Linked DNA regions of Daphnia pulex. The protein of the gene in region 1 binds, or shares a complex with, the protein of each later gene. Links are inferred from orthologs where the notes say so. Each region holds a gene or a part of one and is shown on either strand. Other genes may lie near its edges.

Evidence for each region. The genes of interacting proteins can lie anywhere in the genome.
Region 2: condensin complex subunit 1-like (region 1) and structural maintenance of chromosomes protein 2-like share a complex: the UniProt entries of both Homo sapiens proteins name them as parts of the condensin complex. The link is inferred for Daphnia pulex from reciprocal best matches to the Homo sapiens genes NCAPD2 and SMC2.

Annotation. Positions count from the first base shown.
Region 1 is NC_060021.1:6,807,322-6,811,547, forward strand, and holds the start of condensin complex subunit 1-like, read right to left. Parts: upstream 2,801-4,226; 5' UTR 2,673-2,800; coding exon 2,567-2,672; intron 2,396-2,566; coding exon 2,217-2,395; intron 2,153-2,216; coding exon 2,059-2,152; intron 1,996-2,058; coding exon 1,856-1,995; intron 1,787-1,855; coding exon 1,459-1,786; intron 1,395-1,458; coding exon 1,267-1,394; intron 1,109-1,266; coding exon 947-1,108; intron 875-946; coding exon 647-874; exon of another isoform or gene 589-646; coding exon 438-588; exon of another isoform or gene 350-437; coding exon 336-349; exon of another isoform or gene 142-335; coding exon of another isoform or gene 1-141. Other genes in the region: uncharacterized protein LOC124193881, read left to right, coding at 3,098-3,215, 3,274-3,335, 3,404-3,547, 3,607-3,921, 3,982-4,116; uncharacterized protein LOC124193883, read left to right, coding at 1-141. UniProt on the Homo sapiens protein: Regulatory subunit of the condensin complex, a complex required for conversion of interphase chromatin into mitotic-like condense chromosomes.
Region 2 is NC_060019.1:8,746,220-8,750,348, reverse strand, and holds the start of structural maintenance of chromosomes protein 2-like, read right to left. Parts: upstream 2,801-4,129; 5' UTR 2,687-2,800; coding exon 2,369-2,686; intron 2,308-2,368; coding exon 2,170-2,307; intron 2,099-2,169; coding exon 1,516-2,098; intron 1,451-1,515; coding exon 920-1,450; intron 855-919; coding exon 1-854. UniProt on the Homo sapiens protein: Central component of the condensin complex, a complex required for conversion of interphase chromatin into mitotic-like condense chromosomes.

The DNA of each region.
Region 1 (4,226 bases):
CTAAGTACTACCTCTGAGACTAATTTGAAGAAATCAATAATTGAACGGCATTCTTACGAAAGGTGCCAGTCTTATCATTTTAACGACCGGTGGTCATGGTTAAAACTTTGTGTTGCAAGTTTAATGGGATGGCGTGCTTAAGGCTCAGCTTGTGCCATAGCTGAAGCGTTTTACTTCTAATGAAAGAATGAACGTCATGCAAGTGTTCCAGAAGAGGATCCAATAATTGATCACGCAGTTCACCCATCCTCTCGTTTAAATCCTCTCCACTTAGTTCCTAAATACCAATTAATATGTAAGGCGATAAAAAAGAGAAAATCAAAAGGAATTCATACCTCCATGACAATCTCTGCAAATATAGAGAGCGCACTATTACGCTAATAGAAACATACATTCTTTCACGTAAAGAAATAATTATTTTTCCAAATTTAACAGACCACTCTCGCTAGGCCAGCGCTTGTGAGATGGAGAATACAAGCAAAGCAGTGCCAATATGTAAACGTTCCACATTCCGTACACTCCAGTGAAGAAAGCAGACGTATATTCCAAATTGATGTCCTCATCCCATTTCCACTTGCCTTCCGATACCTGAGACAGTAATGGTGTTAAAGAGCTCTGCTCATACGATGCACTTAAAATAACTTACTTGACCAAGAATGAATCCAATGACGGTCATAGCAGCACAAAGTAGAGTGGCCAGCATAAGAAACTTGAATCTGTAAATGACACCTTCATAGAAATGTCTGCGAGCGGACGCCATTGCAGGCAACGCCTGACGCTTAGCACTGATATTGCGGAACACACGATAAATAATATATGACAAGAAAAGAAAGTAAACTCCAGCAGCGATTCCAGCAATAATAACAAAGCTCAGCTATAAAACAAACAAAATTGACGAATGAAGAAACAAAATGTCAAGCAAAGCTGTAACCAATTAATAATTTACCGCGATTTGTGTCCCAATTTCATTCGCCCAAATAGAATAGAACGGATTCCTAAGTTGGATGCCTCTTTCGCACATGTCAAAGATGAACATGGACAAACAACCAACTCCAACACAGCTAAGCTGTTTCCAATAACCTCTTAGTCCTTTTCTTTCAGTATCATCCTACATGTTTAACATATTAACATAAATTTGAAAACAAATGTCATAAAACAAATATACCTAATTCTAAAATGTTGGATTTTGTGTGGATGTTAGAAATCAATTAGAGCATTAGTTGAGTTATATGCTAGTAAAGCGAATGAAAAAAATTAACACATTACCACGAGATGTTCTCCGGCGAAAACAAGCCAGAAAGATAATAGCATCGAGTAAAAAATACCCTGTTTCATATCTCCCAAAAGAAGCATGAAAGGCATTTCAAAGCTCAGGGTTAAGTACTCAAGGGGAACTGTAAAAGAACAACAGAGGAGTCAGCAAAACACATTATTTTATAAAACTTCTGATTAAATTACGATTTAAAGTAGATAAAGCGACGCCAAGAGCCAAGAGCATTGATTCCAATAACGTGGGTTGCCTAGCTAATAACTGAACACGACGCCAAAACCAGATCATGACTCCTACTACCATGGGAAAGAAAATTGTCTTCAAAGACAACCAAACTTTGGTAAAACCACCATTCTGATTAATGACGACAAGCCAAAGATCGGATACAGGACCGAGGCCTCGGTTGTTTTCATATATCATCGGGAATCGCAGATTCAGAAGGTAGTAGTCATGATGTAATGCACCAAGTTCAAACAGTGGTAGAAGAGGGCAATTATAAAGGTAACCATCATCCCACTAAAAAAACGAAAATTACAAAAACTTAATTCGTCATTTCATCCTTCAGAAAAATAAATAAATTATTACTTCAGGAGGTGAACAATCCATAGTTCTGCTTTCAGTTGATGTAGCATACTCCTTCCACTCATCATCAGGATCTCCCTTGTTCCGATAACCAAGCCTGGCTTCAATTGTAACAGGAACTCTGGGTTCCATTAGCTCCCTTTCTATAAAATCAATACTGAAGAAAGGGAACAGAACAAAATATTAAAAATTAAAAAATATTTTACCTTTAAAATAGGTAACATCAATTTGTAAAATTCCAATAAGATTTTGCATCCACCGAGAGTAGTCCAATTCAATTCCTCCACGTGGTAGAGGTAACTACAAAATTAACAGACTTGACACTTAAAACCTTTCAAAATACTCTAAATTTTAGATTACATACCTGGAAAGCAAAAACAACATTTTTATCAGTTATATGTCTCTCCTCTGCTTCAGGCCCATGCAAATCATCAATCTTGTCACAACCACCATTAGGTCTGACATAAAAGAATTTGCTTTTGTTTTGACTATTATCATAGCATTTTGTGGCCAAAACAGACTGAACATTGGATGGTGCTGGAGCTGCAATTGAAATTAAAAGAATGTAGTTACTGATAAATGCCCTTTCCCACATTCAAAAATGTTTACAGGAAAAAGCCAGACCACCACCGAAAACCAGACTTCTCTATTAACGGGGTGCTATTTTAAGAAATGTGAGTCACAAAGGTTCATCTGACAGAAGTTAAGACTTACCGACCAAGCCGCCGAGAAGAAAGCATACTAGAAGACATATAAGGAGGAAAGATATCAACACAATCAACTTTCGATTACTCAGGTTTTCAACCACGGCACCTGCCATTACTAAAAAATGGACTTTCCCGCAGTTAGCTTAATACTACACACGCTGCTCTGTTTTTCACGCCGACTTGATTAAAGCTAGGCGTTTGAACGCGCGTCGAACAAAGTAATGAAATGTAAACAAATGAATATTTGGATTGAACAACATTGCCATTGTCTAAAAGATGCCAAGCAGACGACTGCTAATGGCCAACCAGGCAACGCTGTATTTTTTGTTCAAATTGTTGACAGTTTGAAAGTAGACGAGAATTTCTCGTTGTTTTTTAGAAAATGTCAACGATTGAAGAGAACATATCAGAAATTATTAATGTTCTTCAGTCAGTTAATTGTCCACTAATCGTCCGAACTGATGATTGGTGGATTGAGGAACTCTTGTTTACACCAGGGAAACCACGAAAGGATTTAATTCTTTGGATAACTTCGAAGGCAATCGAAAGTGCGTTGCCTTCTACTTTACATTCAGCACAATTAAAATTGCAAGATCTTGATTCCACAGCTACTTCTAGTTCTTCCAGCAATATTAAATTGCCAGAGAGTGATGAAGGTGATTTTATTAATATATTTTTTGTTAGTCTGAATTAATACATGTTGTCCTTCCAAAGCTATTCTTGGATTTTGGTGTGGTGCAAATGTTTGCAGTAAAAAAGATCTACCCTTTATTAAGGTAAGTTTTATTTGTTGTTTTAAATGGTCTGCTGATCTTGCAAGAAATAAAAATTTTTTGATCAATAGGGTGACATACCGAAATATGATCAAATAAAGTTTTGGAACCGTTTGATCAAGCCCCTTCAAATTCTTGCAAAATCACATATTAATACAAATATTGCCTTTGGTGGTGGTTCTTTGAGCAACCTTGTCTCCATGGAAAACTTCTTGGTAATGAGAAAATTGTACTCTATATTATTACTCATAAAGTCTCTATATTAAAATATTAGGATGCTTTTAGCATGAAGGCCACTTTGTTGTCAGCTGATGTACAAAGTGAGATTAAGCAAATTCATGAAATGAAAGGCAGAGACCAATTTACAAAGAAACAGATTGTACTGAGGAAAAATCTGCAAAATGACAATTTGCTCATCCCTAACTTCACTGAACAAGCAAATAGATTGAAAGCTGCTGCTGATCAATTTAATGATATTTTCAACTCTGATTTAAAAATCTGTCTTCCCAAAAGTGGATCCTCTGCTCCACTTTTAGAATTTGGAGAAGAAATAAATAATATCAGAACCAAGGTCACTGCTTGGAAAAAGGTAAATATGCCTTCTAAATATTTGTTTTAATAATTAACTTTACACACAAATTTAATGTAGGGTGCAGATTCTCTACTGGAATTACAACAAAGTACTACCTCTGAGACTAATTTAAAGAAATCTGAAAATCTCTTGAAACGTACTATTAAGGATAAGTCTTTCCCTCCGTTTCAAAAGCTTTGCGGGTCAGACTGATTTTGTGTAAGGAGAATATTAATATACCGACACCTTGTAAATAAACGTAATTATATACTATCGCTCAGGATAGGATACTGTGTTTAAAAAATAATTAGACTAGTCCAAAC
Region 2 (4,129 bases), on another chromosome or scaffold:
TGAAGCAGCTGCCGCCTTCTTGCAACGATCCAATTCAGCTTGGGCTGCTTTTAACTGAGTTTCCCGAATCTTACCGGCATTCTTTAACTGATTCTCCAACTCCTTGATGCGCGATTTACCTTCTTTAATGATGTCGGTGCATTCGAGGGCCTTTTGCTCTGCTGATTCCAATTCCGACTTCATATTTTCGACTTCTTGAGTTTGGCGGTGGTGAAGCGTTTGCTGGAGCCTTTGCTGGAGCAATTCAAATTCGTGCTTTTTCACATCGTAACGCTGTTTCAGAGTGCGATACTGTGCTGAAGCCTGCTCCATAACTCGAAGTTCTTGTTCCGCTTCCTTTAGTTGACGATCTTTTGCCTCAAATTCGTTGCGGTACTGCTTGATTTCGTTAACTCTGAGAATAGCAGATTGGCCAGAAGCTCGACTGCCACCAGTTAAAGTACCACCAGGATCAACGACATCCCCCTCCAAAGTTACTGTTTTACGCATTATCTGATCGTGAAACGTAACTTGTCGAGCTTCGTCTAGACCCTTACAAACAAAGGAGCTGCCAAAAATGTACTTCATTGCCGGCGTCAAGTGGTTCTCAAACTCAATCAAAGATATTGCGGTATGGCAGTTTTCTTTACCAACGATTCTTTTGGCAGTTGCCGTAGTCCGTTCATCGATGGTTCTGCCTTCAATTTTGTTGAGAGGGATAAATGTGACACGTGACTGGAGCTTGCCTCTCTCAAGAAGCTTTTTTGCCGTGTTTTCGCTGTCGACTACTATGTTGTATAGCCGACCTCCAGCAGTAATATCTAGAGCAGTAGCGTAGGACATATCTGGAACTTCAAATAAACTGCACACCACACCTGTTCACGAAGAAAAAAAAGTTAAGAAAAGAAATATAAACAAAGTCACACTATAGAAATGCAACCTTTCACAGTAGATGCGTCGAATTGCCTTTCAGGAGGGGTGTACCGAAAGGCCATTTGAGGAAATCGAGCTTCGAATGATTCAATTTTCTCTCGCAGCGAATGCATTTCCGGTTTCAAGCTTCTTTGCAACTGCTCTAAATTAGTTACTTTCTCTTCATCATAGTGAACCTGCCCAAGTTCGGCTTCCAGTCTCTTAACTTCATTCTCGAGGTGCTTAGAGTTTTGTGCATCTTTTTTATAATCGACCTCCGACTTTTTCATCTCATTAATTTTAACTTTCAGCTCTTTTTTTAGATGTTGGGTTGTCATTTCCGAATGCTTCAACTGCGACTCGGCTTGAGCAACATTCTTTTGCGTGGCCATGAGTTCTTCAGGTAAAGTGGCCGCAGCACCATTGTCACTGGCCAACAAACCAGAACTGATTTCTTGGAAGCGCTTTTGGGCAGCTGTCAAAGCTTCACTATCCTGTTGTTCAGTTTGCCTTAATTTTTCAAATGTCTCGCCTAGTTTACTCTCTTCTACCTCCTTGCCTGTTCCGATGAATATAAATACGCTATAATACTGAAAATATATAAAATAAAAGTTAAAATTTTACCTTCTAAAGCAGCGGTGTCGTCGTCAAGACTTTTCTTCAGCTCTTTTTTCCTCTTTTCTTCAGCTTTAATATTTTCCTTGAGCACCTTAACAGCTGATTGGGCTTTCGATTCGGCTTTTTCTTGAACACGCAATTTTTCTTCAAGCTGTGTAAGTTCTTTGCCACCAACTTGGTCTCTCTGATGTTGAAGAGTATGAATTTCTTTTTCCAGTGCCTCAATTTCATTTTTGAGTTTTTCTTCAGTGGCACAATGATTTGTCTTTTCTTTTAAAATCTCATTGTATTCCTCCTTTACTTGGGCATTAGCTTTTTCAAGGCTGAGGAATCTATAAGCTACATATTGGCGGTTCAAGTGTTCTAATTCACGTTCGGACTTCTGAAACTGCAGGTACTGAGTTCGTTCTTCTCTCAGTTTGTTCAATGTTGGCGTAACTTCTTCTGAAAGGATGTCATTGATTTCTTTGATTTTTTCTTCCTTTTTCTCAATTGTTTTCAAAGCCTGTTGCTTTTTCGCTTCGTACATTCTGGTCCCTGCAGCTTCCTCAATCATGGCCAATATTTCAGGGGGTTTCATATTCAAAACCTGCAATGTGAAAACACATACTTATACACTGAAATGCAACCACAAATTGATGAATGAGTTAAGCACAATACTTTAGTAATTCTTCCTTGCATGATAAGGAAATGAGGATTGTTGACATTTAACTGCACAGAGCGGAAAAAATCTTGGACACGGTTGTTTTGAACATTTGATCCATTTATGAGATACTTGTTTTTTCCACCGATGACAACCTGAAAATATGGAAACATAGACTATATATCCTAGTCATAATGAAATCATAAATAACAATACCTGTCTAGTCACTGTAACTTCATCATAATGCTCATAGCCAATTGGACTTTGTTTTTTGTCTTTGTTATCAAAGGTGACTGTCACAGTGGCTTTCGTGACACCTGCTTGTCCACTTTTGTATACTAATTCTTGCAAATTTGTTGCTCTTACATGGCTCAAATTTGTGATGCCAAGAAGGAAACAGATAGCATCCAGAATGTTAGATTTACCACTACCATTTAGCCCTGTAATGGCATTAAACATTGGATCAAATCCATTGATTTCAGTTCTTTGGCCATAGGATTTGAAACCATCAACTACCATAGATTTGATGTACATTTTTTAAAACACAAAAATACTTGATCACGGCTTGCCAGCCACTCAACGTCTTTTCCCGCTGTTTTCTCCTTTTCCTTTCAACGGCTCAACGCATAACTTACGTAGGCTATGCTTTCAACCCTCAAATACTCTGGATTGGATTTTCAAAAAAAGAAGCCTTTTCCCACCACACTTGATGCGTATGTAAACGCACGATAATTTCGTAGCATGAAAAGTAGGATAAGTGGTAGAAAAGGGCGTTCAGGGGTGTTCAGAAGACAGAATTGACGTGTCACTGTTGGAAGATGAAGATAATTAAGAAATTTAGGGAATTTTTTTAAGTTTGTAAAAAAAAAGTGTGTTTGACCCGATTTTTTATCCGGGCCGTTTTACCCGGCCGGTAAAAATTTTTTGACCCATGGGTCGGCCCGGGCCGAACCCATTTACTCTGTTGGCCCAACCCGCGGAAGAAGAAAAACCCATCTAAAAAACCCATTTAAAAAAAAAAACCGCTAAAAAACGTCCGGGCCACAGCCCTAACAGCGAGTCAGCGACTGCCGACTCATGTCCACTGGTCCACTGACAGCCAGAGAAGCCAGCGGCCCCACCTGGCCCCACACTCAGAGCAGAGAGAGATAGTATGCTACGATGCTACATGCTACGATCGTGATGCTACTGTGGCTCTGGCCAGAGTACCAGAACCACAGAGCAACCAACGGCAACCAGAGGATGCCTAGAAACGAAGAACCCAACGACAAGAACCTAGAAATCGTTAGATTCTAAAACAGCGTCAGATTATGTCCTTTAAATGTTTAAAAAATTTAGTCAAAATTGCTCACTTGTAATTTTTTCCTTTTTTTTTAGCACGGAACATTGTCCCACTTGTATTGCAATTTTTTTTTGTTACGACCAGACACAACTGTACATATCTATTTACAAGAAAATTTCAGTTGTTATCTAAGAATAAATATAGCCCAAAGTGTTCAAAAATAATAAATAAAACTATTTGCTTCGGCTCGTGAAGGAGAAAGGGTGAGAATTAACAACAAGGAGCTGAGCAGAAAAAAAGGGCATACAGTATATCCTTGGGTCTTACGATCAGCACGATTGTGTTTACATGGAATCATGCAAATTTCTTTTTTAAACATAAATTCGATAGCAAACAGAATTGCAAACTTCTCTCTCACAGACAGACAGTCATGTTAAGTCATAGTCATATTATTTAGTACAGAAGGCAAACAAAAGGATAATCGATGTGAACCGAATGCCTCAAACCAAGGCGTAATTAACAATGTAACGAGGCAGGCACATTTCATCAGTGTACAAATGTCAGCACGATCCATCAAGCGTTGGGTGACAAATGTAAAAATCCAAAAGGCCAATTTGACAAACTTTGGGCTTTCCCAATCAACTGCTTGGACAACAGATGACTGGCGAGTCCCAAAAGAAAAGCACAACGCCCAC